Linked DNA regions of Rhinolophus ferrumequinum. Each later gene encodes a partner of the first gene's protein in a complex. Links are inferred from orthologs where the notes say so. Each region holds a gene or a part of one and is shown in the gene's direction. Other genes may lie near its edges.

Region 1 (7,354 bases):
CAAGCAGCATAAGCTGACGAGTGGGCCCTCATTAAATGCTTGATGAATGTATGAAATGAGAATTTTGTCAGTTTGGCTTCCTTGTTGGTTTACATTTTTGTCTTAATCAGCATGCAAAAAACACAGTCTGTGACCAAAGTATCATAGAACATAGACTAGAGTCTGGAATGTGGGGATAGAGTTAAAAGGTATGGACCAAAAAGAATTTTTCTTTTTAGAAAAACAAGGCTAAAGTAGTAGACGAAGGAAATGAAGATGGGATCAAGTAAAATAGTAAATTTAAATTTTAGAATTAAGTGAGGACAAAGCTACTTTCCATTCTAGAAGTCAACAGATTAGTTGAGATACTTAAACTGACTTTTATCAGAAGATCAGATTCCCTGTTCTTCTCTCACTTCATTTCTTACCAACCCTCCCCATTTTTCTTTTCCATTTTCTTTTTTTAAAAACACCTTTCTTATGCATTGGACTTGCCAGTGACATCTAAGGACCTTACAGTGCTAGGTGTCATAGCAGATAAACCCTAAATCTCAGTGGCTTAAAAATGGAAGTTATCCCTCAGTAAAGTCTAAAATGATTGAGGCCGGCTTTCACAGGTTTTCAGGTGCCCAGGTTCCTTTCATTTTATGGTCCCACCCTCCTGTAAAGCTTTGGAATGCTCTCCATTTAGCTGGCAGAAGAGGTCCATTCAGGGACCACATGAAGGTTCAAACAAGGAGGTTTTCGTGGACCCGGGCCACAAGTGGAGCACATCACTTTATTCATATCCCAGTAGTTAGCACTCAGTCACATGACCACACCTGATTGCAAGGGAGACTGGGCAATGGAGTCCAGCTCTGGTTCTGATAAAAAATGGTTTCGATGAATAACTAGCCTGCCTCTGCCACTAACTCCAAGTAATTCCAACAATAGGTCATCACGATCTAGAGTACTATGTGTAGCCCTCTCCTCACTTTCTCAGTTAATCCTTGCAATAATCTGACGAAGTTTGGTGTTAGTACTGTATGTCCAATTTAGTAAACTAAATGGCTCAGAATTTGCTCAGAATGACAAAGATTTGTACCCCATTTTGACTCTAAAAGCCCAAGGCATTATGCTGTATTTCTTCAAGTAAATCATAATGTTGAAGTGAGATTATAACCTGAATTGCGATTAAAGTCAAAATATCATGTTAACTGCCACATCATCAATACAGTCCATCCTTTGTGATGTTTTTCTAATTGGAATGATGGACTTAGGCCAATTTACCTGAACTCTTTCCTATTTTAATGTATAGCATTGATCTGAGTGATCGTTGCAGTCCCCAGTACAGAAACGCAGTGATGTGCACTGTCTCACTGCTTATGTCTCAGACTAACACAAATTTGCCTTTCCAGAGTGAACCTCTTTATACCTCACACTTCTAAGACATTTTAAATATAGTTTTATTTTATCTTCACAACCCTTTGAAAAGTAGAGACATCCAATATATCCATTTACAAATGAATAATAGCTGAGCTACTTTGTGCAAAGAATGGTATTAAGCATTGTATGTTATATGTTAATATATAGATATAATAAATATATGTATATTACTTCACTTAATCCTCAACACCACTTCATGTTTTATTACAAGTATTTTATTTATTTATTTTTTAAAAGATTTTTACTGGGGAAGGGAAACAGGACTTTACTGGGGAACAGTGTGTACTTCCAGGATTTTTTCCAAGTCAAGTTGCTGTCCTTTCAATCATAGTTGTGGAGAGCGTAGTTCAGCTCCAGGTCCAGTTGCCGTTGTTAGTTGCAGGGGGCGCAGCCCACCATCCCTTGCAGGAGTCGAGGAGTCAAACAGCACCCTCGTAGTTGAGAGCCCATTGGCCCATGTGGGAATCGAACCGGCAGCCTTTGGCGTTAGGAGCACGGAGCTCCAACCACCTGAACCACGGGGCCGTCCCCTATTACCAGTATTTTATTGATGTGAAAATCAAGAATAGTTAAGCGAAATCAATAGTTAAGAAAATCAAGAAGGTTAAGCGACTTGATTGAGGCACCAGAGATGAGTGGTGAATAAAACAGGTCAGGCTACTTAGTGAAAGTCTTATAATTTTCCCAGAGTTCAACTTCATAGGTTCTACTTATTCTTTGTTTTGCTTTTATCCTTGTCACATATTATTCCTATTCCTCAAAATACTTATCACTTCATGGGGCTTTCATGACATTCTCTATTTTTGTTTCCCGGCAACTTCATTCATTACACCATTAATCCATAAACATGTTGATTTGAGTATATAAAACCTAACAGCTCTTATAGTTTCACTAAACAATGCCTTGCTATTTAAAGCATGAAGCAAAAACCTAATTTAGTTGTTTCCTAAAGTAAATCCACTGCTTATGAAGAGAAATTCCTTAACGTCCTCTAAAATAAAAAGTATGTATTCTATCTATACATATATTTGAGATATTAAAGAAACATCAATTCCCATTTTAAGAAAGTTTTAATTTAATATCTTCTATCAAATTTCTGGTGCCTACCACAAAACCAGAGACTTAAAAAAAAAAGAGAGAGCATTAAAAATGTGAGTCATTTTAAATGAGTCACTCCCAAAAAGAAATTACTTGGGAGTCAAAGAAAGTTGACTTTACTATCTCAGAAATTAAACCCCAATCAACTTGTTCGTCAGTTCAGCTTACTATGAATCTGTGGTGATGTGGAAACTTGGGGGAAAATAAAAACCACTGAAATTTAACTGGTCACTGAAACATCCTTCCTGGTTTGTACTTTATTATCTAAATGCTAACTGGAACTTCAGGCAAAAATGTCGTTTGTAGAACAGTTTTGTGGCACAGACATTGTATCCATCAAACAGAACAAGGTGCTCAAAGATTGAGGACTCATTTTGCCTGCTACTGACAAATTCAAACCTCTGCAGAACTTGAGGCTGAAATCTTTTGTGAGGCTCCCTTGTGAATTGTGCCTAAAGCAGGTCCCTAGAAGGTGCTCAGTAAAGATATATTGGAAAAAATCAATGAGACCAAGATGGAATTTACACAAGAGTAGTGGAAGAGTTGAGTTTCTCACTGCTAACTATATACTCTCGATGACTTTTGCAACTGGTTTTGTAGGTCATCCAAGCACTAATCTTTTCATAAGCTGTATCACAATTAGAGGCAGAAGGGGCAGAGCCATTTTACACTGTGAATGTATCTCTCTTAACTTCCTGAAGTTGACTGGGTGGAGGCCCTACAGTTGAAGGTTGGCAGGTTTGTGCGGCACCGGCACCCGGTCCTTCCTTCCTTCTCTTCCCCTCTCTTCCTGGCTCCTGATACGTCCTCGCCCTACCAGCGGCCCACTCTCACTGACGGCTGGGTCATCCCAGGCCCTGGGAGCTACCACGTGCTTCAAACCAAACCTTACTTGGGGAGAAACAAAAGGATCTTTACGTTTTAAATCACTGCAGCATGAAGTCTTCAAGTGAAAGCTTTATTTGGGTATTAAAATCTAACCTCCGAGGAACGAGTCAGTGCCTAAGGCCTTCATGATCACCCCAAACCCTACATGTAAGGCGGTCTTTTACTCTTGGGAGTTACAGGCTTTCTGAACGCGGCGGCGTCTCCTTCAAAGCCTCACCTCCCTCTAGCTCAGCCCGCCCAACCCACCACACCCCCACTTCGCGCCCAACCATTGTCCCCTCGCAGCTGTCACTGCACGCCGATCCAGGGCTCCGGATTGGAAAACCTTCCCGTCACTCAGCTCATACTCTGGGGCCGGACGCCACACTCCCTATTCTGAGCCTTAAAAGGTCTAAGGCCACGTTCCCGGAGCCAGCAGCAGGTAAAGCCGCAGCGGCGGAAGGGAGAGGCCCTTCTCGCCCAAGTCGGGCCGGCCAGGCGGTGGAGGGGGGTGGGGGGGAGCGGCGGACCCGGGATAGCGCGCCTCACCGCCCCTCCCTTACTGTCTGACCGCGACCTGTCCTCTCCCCCCGCTCCTGCCCCCAGCCTCAAATCCCGATTATAAAGCGCAAACCGCGGAGCCACTCTCGTAATCCCGCCCCCGGACCGCCCAGTGGGCAGCTACGACCGCGTAGCACGGAGGGCGGGGAGGGCCAGGCCGCAGGGAGGGGGTGGGGAGGAATGTGAAAGGTCCCGGATGTTGCTGAACCGGAGCCCCTTCGGGAATGACTGGCGCAGGCGCAGAAAGACCTCACGGAAAGCTAAGGTGGGGGTGGGGAAAATTTTCATTCTCGCACGTTTAGAAGAGTGAGCTGGCGGAGGTGGCAGGGAGTCAGAGGGGAAGGCGAAGTAGGGGGGTAGTGGTGGGGAGGGGAAAAAAAGGTGATTCCTGCCCAGGCGCCCTCGAGGCTAAAGTAGAGAAGTTGGAAGCTAAGCAGACCGGGGAAGAGGGTTGGTAGCGGGAGAGAACGCGCGCTCCTCCGTTCGCCCTCTAGCGCGGGCGGGCAGGACGCGCGCGTTAGGGAGCGGCGGTTGCGCTGGGCCCCCCGAGCTGTGGGCACCAATCAACGGTTGCTATAGCAGCGTTTGACGTCATCGTGCGTCTGGTGCCCCTGCTGCCGGGGCTGGTGATTGGAGGAAACCCCGTGTCTGCGGAGCGGCTGTAGCCTGTGAGCAGCGAGATTCAGGGACAGAGTCTCAGCCTCGCCGCCGCCGCCCAGAGACTGCTGAGCCCCCGTCGGTCCGCCGCCACCCACTCCGGACACAGGTAAGGGATTCGGCCGCCGCCGCCTCGCCCCACTCCTTCCTGTCCCAGACCAGTCTTCCGAAAGCGCGGGGGATGTCCCCGCTCCACATCCTTTCAGCCCTTCTCGCCCCGCGGTAGCGGCGCTGGGCTGAGGCGGAGTCTCTTCAGGCAAAGACGGGCGGCGGCTTCTCTTCCGCTGGACTCGGGCTGCTCGCGGCTGCCGCGGGCTACTTGCTTCCGGATCGACGCCTCGGCTGGGATAAGCTCCCGTTGCCGATCTCCGTCCCCGGGGGTGGAAGGGGCGCCCACAAGCGAGATCCCTGGGGACCTGCCCGGTCGCCGGCTCTCTGGTGTGGTCGAGGCACCACTGGCCGCGATCCGTTCCCATCGTCACCCCTGTCCCAAAGCCCCTTCCCCCTCGCCGTCCCGCTCCTCGCTTCCGCACTAGATAATGACTCGGCGGCTGGGGGCATTGCAGTGGCGCAGGTGAGGCCGCCCCCTCCCCGCGGTCCTCCCCTCCCCCCCGCCCCTCGGCGCAGCCTCCGCGCCCCGCGCTGCGGCGGCGGCACCCAGCCCTCCCCCACCCGAGCGGGAGGGCTGGGCCTGGGGCTCGGGCCGCGCGATTCGAGGCCGGCCCGGAGGCTCCCGCCAGGTAGACTAGGGAGAGGCCACGCTTCGCGCGCGCGCGCGCGGGTGAGCCGGCTCCGGGTGGGGCTCGCCTGAGACGAATTTCCTGGGTTCCGCGGGGTGGAGAGCTTGAATTTTCCGGGGTGTGGTGGGGGATGGGGTTGGCCTTTTCTTGTGGGGAAAGAGGGCTCCGACCGAGCCCAGGTAGGGGTAGAGAAGAGGATGGGCAAGACAGTGGGCCGGTGTCTCGCTCGCCTAGCTAGGGGGCTAGAACCGGAGGGGCCCTGCGCTCGGTTTTGAGGCTCGTACCCTGCTCCGCGAGGCGGGGAAGCCAGAGCGTAACAGCCGGCGGTGGCTCGGCTCGCCTGGGTGTGGCTCTTGTCCCCCTCCCCCTCCTGCTGCAGCTGTCGGGCCGGTATAGACTAAATGAGTACCAGCGGTGTCCGGTGGCGGACTGGACGCCGGTGGGAGAGTGGGGTGTGTCCGCGAACCGGCTGGTCGTGGTTCTGCTTCTGTGGGCAGCGCTGTCGTCTCTGCCCCCGGGGCTGGCAGTCCCTCGGCTCCCCTCGGCTCGGGAGGGGGCGCGCTGCTCCTCCCTCCTGCTCTGGTGGGGGGAATTAATACTCGGCGGTAGGTTGGGCTCCTTGACACAGATCCGCCATGACAAAGAGGGAGAGTCGGGGACTTGTGCGGAGGCACTAGCTTGGGCGGAGCCAGGCGGGAGTTAACAGCGCGGACGGAAGGATTTGCGCTCTAAAGTCACGGTCGGCGGGGTTACGATTCGCCCAACCCGACGTCTTACGTCGGTTAAGGGTTAAATGGGTGCGGCGAGCCTTCTCTGCAATATAGAGGCGAGGCCTTGGAACACTAGTTATTTATTCTATGAAAAACCGACTCCACTTGTAGTACCCGAGGGTTTGGGGAGAGAAACCTTTGTACCGGTTTTAGATAATTTTTCGTTAGAAGCAGCTTTAACCTGAGAGCGTTTTTGAGTTCCTAGAGGAAAAATTAGTAATTTCGAGAACGGGCGGGTGGGGGTTTTAAAATTTGTAATTACAAATTTTTTCGAATTGAAATACTACACCTCACATCTAAGCTAGCTGATTACTAGCTTGAATACCGGGGCCCTGTTAGAATTGTGTGTGTGTGTGTGTGTGTGAGTGTGTGATTTTCCTGGGAAGGAAATAGATATGATATTGGGGAGTCAATTCCTATAGTGAGTAACAGTGGCTCTTCCCTTCACCGTTTAATTGGGCACTTCAGGCTGTCCATTTTCCTTTAAAATCGTTTCTTCTGTGGGATGATTGTATGTTTTAGTATCTTTCTTTGCTGTTTCAGCACCTTTCAAAAGGATATCTTTCAGGAACAGTATAACAGGAATAAATTGAAAAATCTAGGCAGCTTTAAAATGAGAGAAAGAATAAGGCCAAAAGTCATGGTAAGGGCAGCTCGAATGATAATATATTCAGTTAATTTTGACTACTAGAAACAGAATGAAGTACTTTTACATTTAAACTGGAATAATGACATCAGAAACACTGGTCACACTCGAATATACATTTTAGTGCTCACAGTAAGAGTTGAAGTTCCAGGACTCTACACTTGAAACCTATATAATTTTACTAACCAATGTCACCCCAGTAAAATTAATTAAAAAAAGGGGTGAAGTTGAAGGACTCACGGGCATATTTTTCAAACGTGTGCATATAACAAGGTACAGATAAATGAGGCCTTAGGGTCAGTTCAGTTAGATACTGATCTTTGGTGTTTTTATATTCAAAATATCTTAAAACAAGCAATTCGGTCATTTCTCCCAGAAAATTACCATTATGCTGTCAGCTGGCAAATGTTGCAGAGATCTATTCATTTGGGGTTGGGGGCTAATACCAACTAAAAAACTCCTAAAAAGAATAGATATTAAGGAAGTAAAAAAGACACAAATTGCACATTAAACTGACATGAATCATGATTTGGGAAGTATGAAAAGAATTGTAATGTTCTTCCTAAGTAGTGTTTTCACTAAAGAAAAGCTGTTTAATATTTTATTATTTA
Region 2 (7,987 bases), on another chromosome or scaffold:
CCCTCCACCTCCTTGCAGGTGTAAGGGAAGCTTGGTCTCTGGGTCATTGCAACAGTTCAGAGAAGAGATGGGGCCAAAATAAGACAAGGCGGGCATATGTGAGCCAACAAGAGGGTGGGCCTGGGGACCTGGGGTGGGGTTAGAAGTGGGGCTGGGGTTCAGGTGGGGCTAGGCTGGGGCAGGGCTACGCTGACAAAACTCTGAAAGGTCTTCGTGCCCTTGTGGAGCTGTGCATTCCATCCATGGCCCAGGTGATTGAATTCTGTTCCACCGAGCACGTGCGGAATGTCTGACGGGTCCTGACCAGGCAGACCTTTGCAGAAGCCACGAACGTTCTACAAATGGCAACAATCAGCACAGGAACAGGACATGAATATTCACATGCTCGTCTAATGTTCTGACGCCCCCTCCCTACTTCTTGTAGCCCATCTAAACAATATCCACAGACTTCCATTTTTGATCAGATGGAGTGTAAATCACCTTCAGACTTGGGTCTTCTAGCTAACATCCTGTTTTGGGGTGAGTCTTCTGGGAGAAAATTGCAGAACAGAAATATATCCATCCCCACAAATTTGTCTTTTTAAAGCATTAATTCAAGTTATGCTGCTCCCCCACTTTAGAATGATCAGTGTCTCTCAAGAAAAGAGTTCAAACCCATTTTCAGGTTCTGTGAGGCCTTAATTACCCAGTCCGACCTACGTCACTTCTTTTCACTGCCTGCCACACACCAGGTACACCTGGTCACTTACTCATCCCAAACAGTCATGCTCTTATCTACCTGTGCTCTGCACACTGCTCCCATTGCCTCCAATGCCTTTCCCTCTCCTCTTTACCTTTGGAGGAACTCCTCTTGGAAAGCCTAGACCTTCTGGGTGGTGCTTTCCCAGGCAACCCCAGGCAAAGGGCTGATCCTTCCTCTCTACTCTCCTAGAGGTGCACCCCTACGTCTACAGCAGCGCTTATCACACTGCCCTAGGGACTGTTACTCTTTCAGTCCTTTTCCCCCATAAGCCTTAATTTTAAAAGGAGAAAAGCACCATCTTGATCATCTTTGTAAAATTCTTATATCATTTTTCTTCCTTTCCTCTTCCCTCTCCCAAAGATTACAAATGATTAAGCCATAGTTGGGACCGAAAGGGCATTTTACTCAATGTCTACATCAATGGCAGTCCTGTCTTTAGGGACTATATGCAGGGGCCAAAAGAAGGATAAAATAGACAATAATTATTGATTTGAATTTTACATTTTAAACCTTCTTCCCTGCAAAGGCTTCTTTTTCTTTTCACAAGAAATCTGGAGCAGAGTTATTTTAGACCAGTCCCCTCCCGGGGAAATATACAGGTTCTCCCCTAAACAAGCTCACATCTGGTAGTTCCATGGTACTCCTGGAGAATACATACATATTTTCATTCAGCCAAGTTTGAGAGTAGGGAGGCAACAGATCTATTTAGAAATCAGGATGTAATAAGGGCAGGAAATCAGCAATGTTTGCATGTAGAGTACCAGCATTCTCTCTTTTTATTTAAATTTTCATCCAATACAAAATAGGCAGTTGGGCCGGTTTTCAGTTCCCCTACCTCCCCTCCGCCCCAGACAGAAAGACTTGTTATTGAAAGAGAAGTCACACTGGTTTTGGTTGCACCTGAGAATTGCAGTCTGATTTCGCACATGTGTAACTAACAGCCTGCCTGAGACCTTACTCGGGTTGCAAGAAAATGGCATTGGAAGTTTGTAGGTTATGGGTTTTAAGAATGCCCACTCATGGCGATGGCAACAGGTTCTATTTAATATACTTGGGCGGGGAGGGAGTCTTGCCTGGGAAGGGGGGATATGATATGCAAAAAATAAGCTCAGCGTGTCCATAGATGTAAACTTATTTCCTGTTTAACAAACTAAAGAGGAAGGATTTTGGCCAATATTTTTCAATCCTTCTGCATGGTAAGTCTCAGATTTATGTTACAGATTACTGCAAAGATCCCTAACTTCAGAAATACTTGCTTTTCCAGACTTCCCAACAGGGCCAGGGTTAGGGAGAGTCAAATGAACGACTTATTTTGGGTACAAAATTTCAGGGGTGTCGAAAAACTTAGTAACATAAATAATATTTTAATGCAATATTTAAAATTATTTAAAATTTGGGTATGTTCATGCTGGATTTTTACATTTTGTTTTTTTTCAAAATACTGCATTCAAATATTATTTGTCTTGATTACCGAGTTTATTGGTACCCTTTAAATTTTGTCTCTTTGTCAGGTATCTCTCACTCATCTCAGTATAGTGCTGGCTCACTTTCCAAATGCATTTTCAGAAGATCAAGACCTATTCGCCATTGCGTTCCATCACTTGCCCGGTGAAGGGAGGAGGAAGTTTAAGGACAGAATGGTGGAAGTAAAAAGCAAGGAGGAAAAAGTTCTGATGATCAAATAAATAAAAATTAAACAGCAGTGAGATATCCCACTTGTGCTTTGTCAAACTGGCAGATTCTCAAATATAAGCCCCAGCTGGTGGGAGTGGTCTAGTGAGGACATAACTTTTATATCCTGACTTTTTCTGTGAACCATCTCATTTTATGTGAACCACCTACATTTTAGCACTCTCTTTGCCCACCTGCCCCATTCAACAAGGTGAGAGTAGGCTGCCAGAAATTACTTGGAAGCTCCGGAGAGCAGCGACTACCTTAGGAGACAGACGACCTGCCACAATCACCTTGGAACTTCTCTGGTGATTTTTGCGACCTGTGTGCTGCACTCGGTATCCTACAGGGGACTGCTTTCTTCCTCGCCTTTAAGCCTTTAAACCACAGGCAGTGATGAACTTTTTCCGCTGAGAAAAAGGGATCGAGTGGTGGGTTTTACATTTTCGTCTACACTAACCGGTCCCGCCAGATAAACACTCAGCTTACGGATTCCTACAGACTCTCTGACTTGACTTGGCACTCGGGTGAGAACCCAGGTTTTCTTTTTCCATTTGTTCCCCCCCCAACCCCCAACCCCCTCACCGCGTGGGGCTCACAGGTTGCGGAGATGACCTCTTCCCGGGGCAGTCCTCCGGGTTTTCCAACCCAGGCCGCGCCGTGGGCCTCCGCGCTCTCCGCCCCGCCCTCCCAGGTTCGCGTCCCACGGCGCGGGGCAGTCCCTCGCGCTGCCGCCTTCCCGGTCCCCGGCTCCTGGCGAAGGAAATTCTTCCCCAGCAGCCTAGGGCTCGCCTCACGTGACCAGCCGCCGCGGCGGCTTCCAGAGAGAGTTTAAAGGTTACGGAGGAAATTAGCACTGACACAGGCACTCCCCCCACACCCCCGCAATGGAGAGCGCGCCCCGTTTTCCCGCAGCTAAGACAGCCGCTGTCAGCGCACTGATCAGAGTCATGTCCCCCAAAAGAGTACAGACAAGGTCCAGAGTAAATATGAAGTTACTTTGTAAAAAATAAACAAACCAAGACGGGGTTCTACTAAGCTTTCACTTGTCAACAAGTTCTCGCAGCCTGAGAAGTCCGGGACAGATCCCAAAGGGAAGAATGCCCCAAAGAAAGGGAAGAGAGAATAAACGTGTAAAAACTCACACCGAGCCTTGCACGCCCTCCCTGTCCCCCTCCCCCACCACCGTGGAGCCCAGCGTATCAAGCCAGATTGACCGACAGACAGGCCAGTACTCGGCCGGCTGCCCTGGCCTGCTACAGCCGGAGTGAGAGTGGGGTTGGGGAAGGGTCCCGAGTCTTCTCTAGCAGTGCGACCCCCGCCCGTCTCCCCCTCGCGGTTATAAAAGACAGTGTTGGCCACAGAGCCCGGGAGAGATGGGCGGCCCGCTCGTCTCGGGTGTAGAGCAAAGACCGCAGGCACCCGCACCCGGGGCCCAGTGCCGCCACTCCCCGGGATCCCACGCGGGGTCCCTGCCCTGCTCCCCCGCCCGCCGCCGCCACCAGGGCAGGCTCGCTGGCTCTCGGTCGTCCTCTACTCGGCTCACTTTTCCCGTATTGCTCCCCCAACCGGCAAAACTTTCTATTTCCCCAAACACAGGAGCGCGCGCGCGCGTGCACACACACACACACACACACACACACGCACACGCACACACACATACACACACACACACACACACACACACATTCTGACGTCTTTTGCGCATTTCCTGCATTAGAGGGAGGGAGACTCGCTCGCACACCGACGGAGGGAGAAGGGACCGAGGGGGAAAAGCGGGCGGGCAGGCGGCGAGCGAGCGGCAGCCAAAAGCCGGGACGCGAGGAGAGCGGCGGGCGGGCGGGCGCCGGCGCCCAGGAGGTGGGGCCGCGCCGAGTCGCAGTCCCGGCCCCGCCGCCGCGCTGCGCACCGCCGGGTGCCGGCCTGCGCCCGGAGCCGGAGCGGCGGCCACCCCGATTTCGAGCCCGCGCGGATGTGAGATTCCGGGCTCCTGGCGCCTCAGGATCGCCGACTGCGGCGCGGCGCTGCTTCGCCCAAGAGGCGGCGGCCAGCCTGGCGGTGGGGCTTGTGGATTTTTAAAAATTTGGCTCCGAGGAGGACCATTTCCTCTCGACATGCATCCCTCCGGATAGACTGAACATCCTTCGCTCCATCCCCCGCCCCGCGCGGTCAGAGGCAGGCGCTGGGTGTGAGAAGAGGATCCGGGTTGAAATCTGCGCCCCCGTTCTCGTCCCCGCCCCGTCCCACCGCCCCCTCGCCCTCCCGGAGTCGAAATTTCCCGGGGATTATGTTTCGGAAAGGTAGGTAAGCGCCGGGCGCGGCGCCCGCCTCCCCGCAGCCGGGACCCGGAGAGCCAGTGAGGCGGCGAGACAGTCCCCGCCGCTGGCAGCGGAGCCGACAGCTCCTCTCCTCTCCTGAAGGTGCTGCTGGTGGTAGGGGGGGAGAGACTTGCTCCTAACACGGACATTCCCCAGCTCTCCCCCCCTCCCTGTTTTCCGTTAGGAACCCGGCGAGGAAATACATGCACTCGCTGAGAATCGCCCGCTCCAGGGCGCAACGCTACAAGGTGTAGGGAGAGTGTGGGGTGGGGCGAGAGGGGACCCAGGGGTCCTCGCAGCTCGGAGCGCCGGGGCGTCGGTTCTTCATCCTGCCCACCGGGCGGACGGAGTGACCCCGGCCCCCACGCCCCGCCCCGACCATGGTAGTGTTCAATGGCCTTCTTAAGATCAAAATCTGCGAGGCCGTGAGCTTGAAGCCCACAGCCTGGTCCCTGCGCCATGCAGTGGGACCCCGGCCACAGACTTTCCTTCTTGACCCCTACATCGCCCTCAACGTGGACGATTCGCGCATCGGCCAAACGGCCACTAAGCAAAAGACCAACAGCCCGGCCTGGCACGACGAGTTTGTCACCGATGTGTGCAACGGGCGCAAGATCGAGCTGGCGGTCTTCCACGATGCCCCCATCGGCTACGACGACTTCGTGGCCAACTGCACCATCCAGTTTGAGGAGCTGCTGCAGCACGGGAGCCGCCACTTCGAGGATTGGGTGAGTCGGGCGCCTCCCAGCCAGGAGCCTGGCTGTGGGGTCGGGGTGGAGGGGACACAGAAGGCCTTGGCACTGGTCGTGGGGCGCAGGGACTTCCTGCTATTTGGGGTGTGTGTGTAGGTAAGTCACAGTTACCTTGGAGAAGCACACTCTACTTGATAGTTGGGGAGAGGTAGGCACTGGAGCAGGGAAGAGGAGACTTGGAAAGAGAGTCTGGGCTCTCTGCCCCCTCCAGACAGCGAGTGCTACCCGGAGCTTGCGAGCTGGGAGAGCACAGATCCTCCAATGCTTGAGGGCTGGCGGAGAACCTGGCGCCTTCCGCAGGCGTGTAGTGGGCTGGCTGTGTGTGATTGTGTGTGGGTGGGTTCCTCTGTCCTTGGAGAAGCACGTGGAGCCCTAGACTGAAGGCTTCTTGCACGTCCTGGCTTTGTCCTGCGTAGCTGAGTGAGGAGCTGCTTTATTTTCCCCTCCTGGAGGAAGCTAGCTCGTTTCTGTTCTGTTGCATGGTGGTTAGCTCATCTTCTGACATACAGGAAGAAAAATGTGTTCTCCTCTAGGATGTCCCCTCCAGGGTCCAAGAAACATTAGCTGAGCTTGTTTTGCCCAATGCATTGCCCATCCATCCAGAATGAGTGTTGTAACCATCAAACATGGTTCTGCTTGTAATTGGAAATCAGTGCTTTGAAACCTACTTAAAGTTATATTGTTTCCCTGTTTTAATTTTCAAGATTCTGTGCAATGACATACCATTTCGAAGTCTGAGATTGAATTAATTGATTACATTGTCAAAATATTAGGGACTTGGAAAGAGGCCTTGTCAAATGCACTCAACCTTGGCACTCAGAGAAGCAGAGAGAAGCAACCTTGTTTTAGCTGTTCTTGGAGGGATGGCGTTAAATGAGGAAATGGATTTTTATATTTTCAGATTTGTCGCATGTTTCCACTAAGAGCAGGTATGGCTCTGGGTGTATATGTTTTCAGGGTTCTTTGATTTACACAGAAAGAGAGGTATCTGCTGCTCATGGAGAGCTGTAGAGGAATCACCTATTTATTGAGAACAAATAACTTCATAATTGTCCTAGGGTCAGAGTTTGCATATGAATCACCTTGGCATATTACCTTACATAGTTTTTTAAGCAATGGAGTTTTAGGGGAAAATCAGAAAAAGTTTGTTCTCTTTATGCTCAGGGCTGTGATGTATTCTGCCCCAAACCATGGTTACAGGGATTGCAGGGAAGCTGCAACATACCACACCAGGTACAACCCTAGGAGACCTGTGACTTACAATTTGGGAAGCAGGTAAATCTTTACAGAATCCAGAGGACACAGGGCCATTCCATTCTATTTCATTTCACCAATGCCCCTTACACCTCTGCCTCCTTCCTACTACCAGAGTTCCCACTCATTCCCCAACGTCCTTTCCACACATGGCCATTACTCCTTTTACTCATGAAAGCAGTGTGTATCTGAGGGAGAGCTGAACGGAGAACTAATTTCAGAGCCAGACCTTAACACTGAAAATCTGTGGTTTTGAAGTTGTTGGTTTAGAATAGGAAGGAGAAGAGAAAAACATGACTGTGGTAATGAGGAGATGGGGATTTGTGCTGTGTATGCAGAGGAGGGAGTTGGATAGGAGGCAGAGAGCAGGTAGCATGAACAGCAGGTCTGCTGTTATCCACAAAACAGACTTGGTTGGAGGGAGAGGTGTCTGAGTGTCTCTCTTGATGCTTTCCTGGGGCCCACCCAAACTCGGGGCATATCGGGACACCAGTCCCTCTTTTGAGCACTTCCAGTGAATCATGCAGTGGGCATTAGTCTTGCTTGGTTATCATTCTGTAAGGGTCTCTAATTCATGTTGGATTTGGCTCTAGAAGAGATCATCTCGTGGACAGGCAAGTTTTACAGACAAGGATATTATGTCCCCGAGAAGCTCAGTGGGTACCTGAGGTCACATAACAGGCGAAGGATGGGTGGCTGTAAGGCCCATACCTCCTACTGTCCACCACTTGCCCAGGGGAGAACTGAGCCCCCGGCCTCCCAGTCTATGTTCCCTGTTGATCTATGTCCCATAACCCTGAATGTTTTTATTGTACGTGACAATTTAAAGTACTTTCAAAACCATCTCTTTTGCCTTAAAGCAAGTGTGAATTAAGTATGACAGGTATTAGATTGAAACACTTGAGATACAGAAAGGCTAAAGTGATAGGATGATGAATCAAATAATGGAGCCGGTTCTCTTTGCTCATCTAGTGTTGTTTTCAATGAGAGGATGCTGTGGGCATTCTGGTTCCTTCAGCCTAAGGGTGGACATGCATCAGCTGAGGTGACTGGCCCTTGGAAACAAAGACAGATTGCACCTAGGCTGACTAAGGTCACCTTTCCCATTCCTGTCAGCCATGGGACACCTACAGAATCACACTATTGGGTAGAATTCCCCAGGCTCAGGCCTCTGTGCTCTTTACCTGGCAGTGATGAAGAGATACACCCTTTGTCAGGTATGACTAAGAAATCTGGCCTGAAGTAAGGGG
Region 3 (7,473 bases), on another chromosome or scaffold:
GCCACCTCACTGAAGGAATCCCCCTTCCCCCAGCAGAGGACCCGTCCGTGACGTGAAGGATTCTGGGAAGTGTAGTCCAAGCGCCGATTAGGGCCTGCTCTGTGTCCCAGGAGCCCCTCTTCCAGTGGCCGGATCGGCTCGAACCTCATAAATCCAGGACTTGTAACAGTTGCGGGGCCATTTCCATTTGGTTCTGTAATTAGCCCTTACCCCAAACACTTAGTAAAGCTGAGGAGGGCCCAGGGCTGTTCACTCCTTCTCCTCCCTCTACGCACCACCCCCCCAATAGGATGAGGTAATGGGATTGTGATTATGACATCATAGGCGGTTCAGTAGCTCGCGTGGGGGGTGGGGGGAGTACGGTGGTTACAGCTGGACCACTTTCCTTAAGAGAGGGAAGGAGGGAGGAAAACAGGCAGATGGGGAAAAGATGTTGATGTTGCTATATTTCCTCTTCAGGAAGAGGAAACCACCTTTTTATTACCTCTCCACCATTGCCACCACCTCCCACCTCAGCCAAAGTTTAAGTCCTTTCTGAAGAGACTGAATGTAGTCCGTAGTAGGTGAAGAGGTTGGGGAACAGCTAGATGGTTTCTGGTCCTTATGTAAATTTGAGTCTCAGCTATCAAAGAAGATTTAGAGAGACAGACAAAAAGATGGAAAAAGGAGAGGTTTTAAACAATGCCTCCCTGTTGTGATCTCTTTTGTAGGGCAGGATTTTAGATTTCTCTTTTAATCAATTGGAAAGTAACAGTAATGCAAGTAAATCCTCACTATTACACTTAGCAACAAGGCCCCGGAAAGACATCTGTTTTCCTTAAATATTCTGTGCCTCACTCAAGTCTGGGACAGATAAGTAACTGTGATCAGCCAGAAAGTAGAACCAGTGGTGGGGATCTTCTTCACAGAGCCAGGGAAGGGAGAAGGCAGGAGCCACCAAGTCTGCAAACTGGAAAAGAAGAGGGAAAGTGAGGTACTTAAGAAAATGGGGGGGTGAAGGGAAGATGTACTTCACATTTCCTTGCCCTGCACATTTGCCCTTGGGAAAAGAAGGAGCAGGGGTAGGGGCCATGAAGTTACAGGAGACATGGTTTCCAATAATTGCTATTGTAAAACACTTATTATGTGCCAGACACTTTAAATATGTATTCTCATTTTTGCTTACAATCATCAAATGAGTCAAAATCTCCTTATTTGACAGATGATAAGTGACTGCCCATGTGGTGGACAAAGGTAGTATTTAAAAAAAAAAAAAAAAAGAGTCTGAAGCTCTAAAGCCCTTGGTCTTCGCCACTAGGTGATCCCCCTTTTTATTATTAACCATGCTTACTAAAATGATTGAGTATAAGAAGTTAGCATTGGCTCATTTGCAAAACATTGACAGAAATTGAGGCAGTTAAAAAATAACAAGCCCCGCAAGTTAAGTTTCAGGCCTCACTTCAAAGGAAAATTATACACCTTTCATCAAGTATAAAATAGCCCCCAGTGCAGCCCAACTCCCCATTACTAACTATAATTAAATCTCCTTATGTCACTTTTCTCAAGTTTTTAAATTCATGTCATGCTATTTTTTCCTGCTGCCCCATTTTCTTTGTTTTGTTTTTGGACTACTACCTTGAAGCCCATCTTAATTGTGACCTCCTGGACCAGACCCCATCTCTGACCCTGCTCCAGTGGATTTCAGCAGAGGATACTACCTGGGCTCCCTCTGGTCTCCATCCATATTGTGAAGATTCCAGGGGTTGGAACCAGTCATCCAGGAGGTTATTCAAAAGGGAGGAATCCACTGGCTCTAAGAGACTCTTCATTCCCTGCCTGGGAAGGCAGCAGAGTCAGAGAAACATGCACTTCATTCAGACTCTCCTTTACAGCCAATGAAAGCTAAATCTTTGCAAAGTGGGGGAGATGTAGGACTCAGTCCACCACTCAAGAAAGGAACCAAGAATAATGCACACACCCTTTAGCCCCCGTGCCCTGCAGAGGTTGGCTGGGGGGATCCCAGGAATGTAGGGCTCTTCTCCACTGCCTGATCTGGGCATCCCAGGAGCGGCGACTGTACCTCCTATTTTTGTTTGGTGTTTGAGGGTGAAGTCCTGGCTGTCGCTGTGTCCTGGCAATGACAAATGTGTCAGAATGAGGTCAAGGTGAGGGGGCACGGCTCACTGCTTATCACAGTAAAACAGGAGACTCGTTAGGGAGTCTCTGAGAATAAGGTATGATCAATTCTCTTGATCCAACAGAAAAAAATAAACCTTCAATCAGATTAAACATCACCTTCCTAATTCCCTAATATTCTTTCTTCTGGAAATGGTAAATTATATATTCCAATTTCCTCAGAAGTCAAGATAGATATAAAAGACAGTATTTGATATCCTGTTCAAATACTTTCTACCTTTTCATACATTTAGTTTGTATGTATGCATGCAAATTTACATGTAATTGGGCAAGTATGTTGCAATTAGCCACGTCAGTTGGAGGCATGAGGTAAAAATGATTGGAAAGAAAAAAACTTCATTATCCAAAAACATGGATAGTTTTTTTTAAAAGATAGACTTTTAAAAAAAGTCTTATGTGCCAAGTATGACTTGTTCCATTTGGAAAAAATCTTGGAAACTTAATTTGGGGGCTAGATTGCAGGATAATTCGTTTTAGTAATGCTGCAATTTTGTGAGAGCACTCAGATTCTAGTATCTTTCCATCACCTGACATTGAACCAAAGCCACTTGATTGACTCTCTTATTGTGACTATGCACAACTTGGGGGAGTGCTTAAGATGGGCACTCACTTGGGGACCTGCTGCAGAAAGCACTGGTAACCAGGTGTGCGCTTGCCATAATCTATCTGCTTTTGCCTCCGCTGTAGGACAATTTCATCTGTCTCTACCTCCCACCTGCAGAGAAGTATATAGTGGCTCCATGAAGTGTGATTATAATTATCAAAGCAGAAACCAACTCATCCCACCCTCCCTTAATCCCCAGCCTGATTTTCACTCACCTGGTATGGCAGGGCTCTGTGCTGACTCCCACACTTACCATCTCTATCCTAGAGGACAAAGAATCTTCACACACCTCCTTCCTGGGGAAGCAGATTCTACAGATGAATCTGTGTTAGGGCAAAATCCAGCTTGCTACACTGCACCTCTCAGCCACTACTACCACCACCAAGATCCTGACACCAGATAAAGGTTGTATTTCTGACTTACTGTTTCTAAAAGGTAAAGGTTGCATTTCTGATATGTTTCTCAAAGTGTGGTCTGCAAGCCATCTGCAGGGGTAGCACCTGGGGACCTTGATAATTCCTCAGCCACACTCTAGACCTATTGAATCTTCATTTTGGAGGCCTGTATTTTAAAGAGCTCCCAAGATTATTTTAAACATTTTTTTTTTAATTATAGAAAATTTCAAACATACAGAGAAGTAAAGAGAATAGCATAATATTTTGCTACTCAAACTATGGTCCCTGTAGCAGCTGCATCAGCATCAGCTGAGAGCTTGTTTGATGTAAAGAATCTTGGGCCCCAGCCCAGACCTACTGAATCAGAATCTGTATTTTAACAAAATCCCCCAGGTGATTAGTATGCAGCCTAAACTTTAAGAGAACTGACATAATGGACCCCCGGTTACCCATCAACCAATTATTATGGCCAGTCTTGTTTGGTCTATACCCACCACCACTACCACAGGATTACTTAAAAGCAAATCCCCCAAATTAAGAATAAATTCTTACTATCACCTAGCCAATGTTCAAATTTCCATAAACAACCAAAGTTTGGGATCCTTTGGACTTTGATGAGGATTGTGCCAACAGATGATTCAACTCCCCTGCTTTCCGTAAAAAGGAATTTCCTTTACTCACATAACCTAGCATCTCAGAGATGCTGTGCGTTAAAAGGGACACCCAACAGGGAAACCTCTTGGAAGGGGCCAATGCCGTTTAGCATAAATACACACACACCTGTTTCGCCACATCTGCCACACCGGCGACAAATGCTCCACTTCCAGCGGAAGGCTAGCAAACTAAGAGGGAAAGGTCCATGTAACAACACAAGAAAGAACCAAGGAAAAAGAAACGCATAAAACACCCTTGTATCGAAACTAATGTCTTCAGGTATTAACCTAACGAGTGGACCGCGGAGCAAAGTGCAATTTAAATCTCCCGGGGACGAAGGGGCTGAGCAAAGGGAGAGCTCAAGATGGGTGTGGCGATTGGCCAGAGGCAGAGCCAATGGTGCGCCAGGCTCCGTGTGGGGCGGGGCTTACTAAACCCCTTGCCGAACGCCAGTGGGCCAGTCGGCATTCTGCTCTGGCTGTGAGGCGGGGCAAATTGTGTTCCTTCCAGCTCAAGTTCACGCCTCCGGTTGATATACCAGCCAAACGATTGGCCGAGGGGTTTCTGGGCGGGCGTGCGGAGATTGGCTGACGCAGTTTAGAGGCGAGCGGGATAGGTTATTGGGAGGGCGGAAGGTTTGAATGGTCAAGGCCTGTGGCTGTTTATTTTCTTGCTCCGAGGCTTCGACCCTCTGAGGAGAGAAGCGGCAAAGTCTGACTCCGACCTACCCAGTGAAAAAGCAGAATTGTAGTCTGGTTAATTGCCACCTTTCCCCAGATTACCTTTAATTCTGCTCTGGTCTTCGCTTGTGATTGACCCCATCTACATCCACTTCCCTTCCTCCTGAAGGTAAATCTCAGACTCAAACCTGAGGTAAGCCCGGAGCTGTCTGCGCCTGAATCACCCCATTGTCACCCCAGAGCCCCGTCGGGGCCCCACAAACGGAAGTTTAGGGGACCTAATTGGCATTGTCTAGAGTTAGGAGACCTGAGTTCCTTCCGGTCAGGAGTCACGAGCTGTGTGGCCCCGAATAAGACAAAGCCCCCTTTTTCATTTCCTGGGGTTAAAGTCCTGGGGTTACCTCTCGTTAAATTAAGGTTCCAACGAAAAGGCCAAGCCGCTTCAGGCAAGTTAACCTTCAAGCCAAGTTTTGTCATCGTTTGGGGATGACCCTCCTAAAAATACTGACCGCTTGGCCGCTGCTTATATATTATATTATATTATGGACGATCTGTGATGTATGTATATAGATGATGTCCTCCTCTTAGCTAGCTTTTATTTTTTTTCTCAGTGTGTACTCGGAGACCATGTCTGCCGATCTCCTTTCATCCACAAGCGAAGAGGGAAGTCCTGAGTCAGGACCCAGTTTTAGGTCCCATCAGAGGAAGATATTAAACCTGCTCCTGGAGAAAAACACTTCCTTTACCATCTGTCCAGATCTTCCTAGAACTCCAGTGGACAAACTTTTTGGTGATTTTGCAAACCTAAGCATTTTGTCTAGGTAAATCTACTTTTCTCACCTTCGCTCCTTTGCTTTTCTAAACAGTTAATGAGTTTTTAATAAAATTCTGGCTCAAAGATCAGTGTTTAAGTAAGTCTTAGCTCTGCCCTTGACTAACCGTGTGACCCTTTTGACTCTCAGGCTTCTTTTCTGTGACATAGAAATTATCATCTCTTCCTATCTCACGAGGATCTTGTGAGAATCAAATGATGTGATGTCTGGGAAAAGTCTTTGAAAACTCTATTGCATTATGCGTTGGTCCCTTTATTAGTATTAATATTAGTGGTATTGTTATTGTACTTTAAATTCCGATCATGCCATACCCTGACTCTCAGCTAGCAATCAAAATTGGAGGGTTGTAGACATGAGAAGTACTAGAGACTCCAGGGAGAAATCAAGTCTGTGTTCTTATGGTGCACAGGACAGAAGATGTGGGGTCAATACCCACCTCTGTTAATAAACTTTGGTCTTCATTTAAAAAAAATTATACTGTCTCAATACCATATGTTGGTGAGGAGAAAATGAGATACAGATTGTTGGAGTAGAGAAAAGGTGGGAGATTTTTCTCAGCGTAGTCTGAAATATTTCCAAAAGCAGATTTATCTGGACACTGTTCAGATTATATGAGAGTCATTGAGGGTTGTTTCAAATGAAGAGGATAACATGATTTTTGCCTTTTAAGGATATTACATCCTAATGGGAATCTTGATGTACTATTATGTCTCAACAGAGGAACCCCAAAATGTTGCCTTGATCTTTCGAATCTTAGCAGTGGGGAGATGTCTGCCACACAGCTTACCACTTCTGTACACCTTGATGAAACTGGTAGGGAGAAGGATGGTAAGGGTCAAGGGAAAGAATAACTTTTAAGGGAGAGGACAGGGTAGTAGGCTATAGATGGAAGGTAATAAAAGTAAATAGAGAGCCTTGAAGTTGGAAGTCTGTGGGTACCTATAAGATTTTTGAGGAGAATGATCAAGCCAACGGGAAGAGAAAGATAATAACATTAATAGGAGCCACTTTGCATTTGAAAAATTAGAACAGGAAGGTATACTGTGTTGACTGATTGATGGTATGAATTGAAATTCACTGATTGATGGGAATGAAAGTAGTAGTTAAGAGGAGGAATTTTATACCCTAGTGTAATCTTAGCAGAGGCAAAGAAACCTACATAAATACTTTGTCAGCTAATTCTTGTGTTTTCATAGGGTCTCAGTCCTAAAGGAATTTTTTTACTAGTAAACCATTTTAGTATTTGTTCTAATTTCAGATTTCCTGAGTGGTAAGCATACTTTTCTATTCATGAAAAAAGAAAAATCTCTGTAAGTTAGTAGTTTCCCAGCATTTTTTCTTTAAGTGATACATGCAAATTCCTAAGATTCTACTAATTTATACCTTGTACCAAGAAATTAATAGCTATCAAAAACCATGGTGTTCAAAAAGTCAGCTTTTGATATTAATATGGCTTACTGGTAATAAAGAAAATCAGAAGGAAAGACAGGATGCATGGACAAGAATAACTTCATATCTGATTGCAGGTCACTTGGATTCTTCAGGACCTCAGGAAATACAGTTAGCTCTGATGTGAGTTCTTTTGTTAAATGGACCTCATGCTTAAAGCCTTTTCGGCACTGGCAGGTGGATTTTATCCTATGCAATCTCAGCAGAGTATAGAACATTTCACTTTGGGTATAATTAGCTTGGAGGCCTAGGTCTTTCCCTTGAAAGGTTTTTAAGTTTCCCAGAGCTAAATAGTGTCATGAAAATGAGGGCTATTCATTTTAACCATCACACACCATCAGTGTTATCTTTAAAAATGGAGGAAAATGGTATATACTGCACTTAGCTATACGCTGTTACATGCATGTGAGTAGTGCAGTATCTTAGTGGTTAAAAGTGCTGAGTGTAGGTTCTGAAATCAGTGTCTGGATTCCAGTGGCTTAGTACTTCACCAACTGTAACCCTGACAAGTTTCTTTACTTCACTGCACCTCAGTTTCTTTATTAATGATAAAGAAACAATAATAATGGGGATAATAACAGCACTTCTTATAAACAGCTATTGTGAGGATTAAGTTTTCATTTAATCCTTTAGCCAATGAAAATTTAATCCTTAGCACCTCCCAAGCATTTTATCATGTTTAT

What was found. The genes of interacting proteins can lie anywhere in the genome.
Region 2: the proteins of YWHAZ (region 1) and PRKCE are in contact, whole or in part, in a crystal structure (PDB 2WH0), measured with the Homo sapiens proteins. The link is inferred for Rhinolophus ferrumequinum from reciprocal best matches to the Homo sapiens genes YWHAZ and PRKCE. Residues at the interface, in NP_001129171.1 of Homo sapiens: Asn42, Ser45, Val46, Lys49, Arg56, Lys120, Arg127, Tyr128, Gly169, Leu172, Asn173, Val176, Glu180, Leu216, Leu220, Asp223, Asn224, Leu227, Trp228; in NP_005391.1 of Homo sapiens: Lys365, Ala366, Leu367, Ser368, Phe369, Asp370, Asn371, Arg372.
Region 3: the proteins of YWHAZ (region 1) and CDC25C are in contact, whole or in part, in a crystal structure (PDB 5M36), measured with the Homo sapiens proteins. The link is inferred for Rhinolophus ferrumequinum from reciprocal best matches to the Homo sapiens genes YWHAZ and CDC25C. Residues at the interface, in NP_001129171.1 of Homo sapiens: Lys11, Glu14, Gln15, Glu39, Val46, Lys49, Asn50, Arg56, Arg60, Val61, Ser64, Lys120, Arg127, Tyr128, Glu131, Gly169, Leu172, Asn173, Val176, Glu180, Asp213, Leu216, Ile217, Leu220, Asn224, Trp228; in NP_001274511.1 of Homo sapiens: Gly210, Tyr212, Arg213, Ser214, Pro215, Ser216, Met217, Pro218, Glu219, Asn220, Leu221, Asn222, Arg223, Arg225.

Annotation. Positions count from the first base shown.
Region 1 is NC_046297.1:42,633,624-42,640,977, reverse strand, and holds the start of YWHAZ (14-3-3 protein zeta/delta), read left to right. Parts: upstream 1-4,344; 5' UTR 4,345-4,696; intron 4,697-5,022; exon of another isoform or gene 5,023-5,161; intron 5,162-7,354.
Region 2 is NC_046296.1:39,789,431-39,797,417, reverse strand, and holds the start of PRKCE (protein kinase C epsilon type), read left to right. Parts: upstream 1-4,977; 5' UTR 4,978-5,111; coding exon 5,112-5,459; intron 5,460-7,987.
Region 3 is NC_046307.1:13,418,533-13,426,005, reverse strand, and holds the start of CDC25C (M-phase inducer phosphatase 3), read left to right. Parts: upstream 1-4,463; 5' UTR 4,464-4,677; exon of another isoform or gene 4,678-4,701; intron 4,702-5,103; exon of another isoform or gene 5,104-5,119; 5' UTR 5,120-5,135; coding exon 5,136-5,329; intron 5,330-6,059; coding exon 6,060-6,169; intron 6,170-6,867; coding exon 6,868-6,913; intron 6,914-7,473. Other genes in the region: oocyte-specific histone RNA stem-loop-binding protein 2-like, read right to left, coding at 818-949, 1,695-1,815, 1,958-2,110, 2,786-2,890, 2,995-3,035. UniProt on the Homo sapiens protein: Functions as a dosage-dependent inducer in mitotic control. Tyrosine protein phosphatase required for progression of the cell cycle. When phosphorylated, highly effective in activating G2 cells into prophase.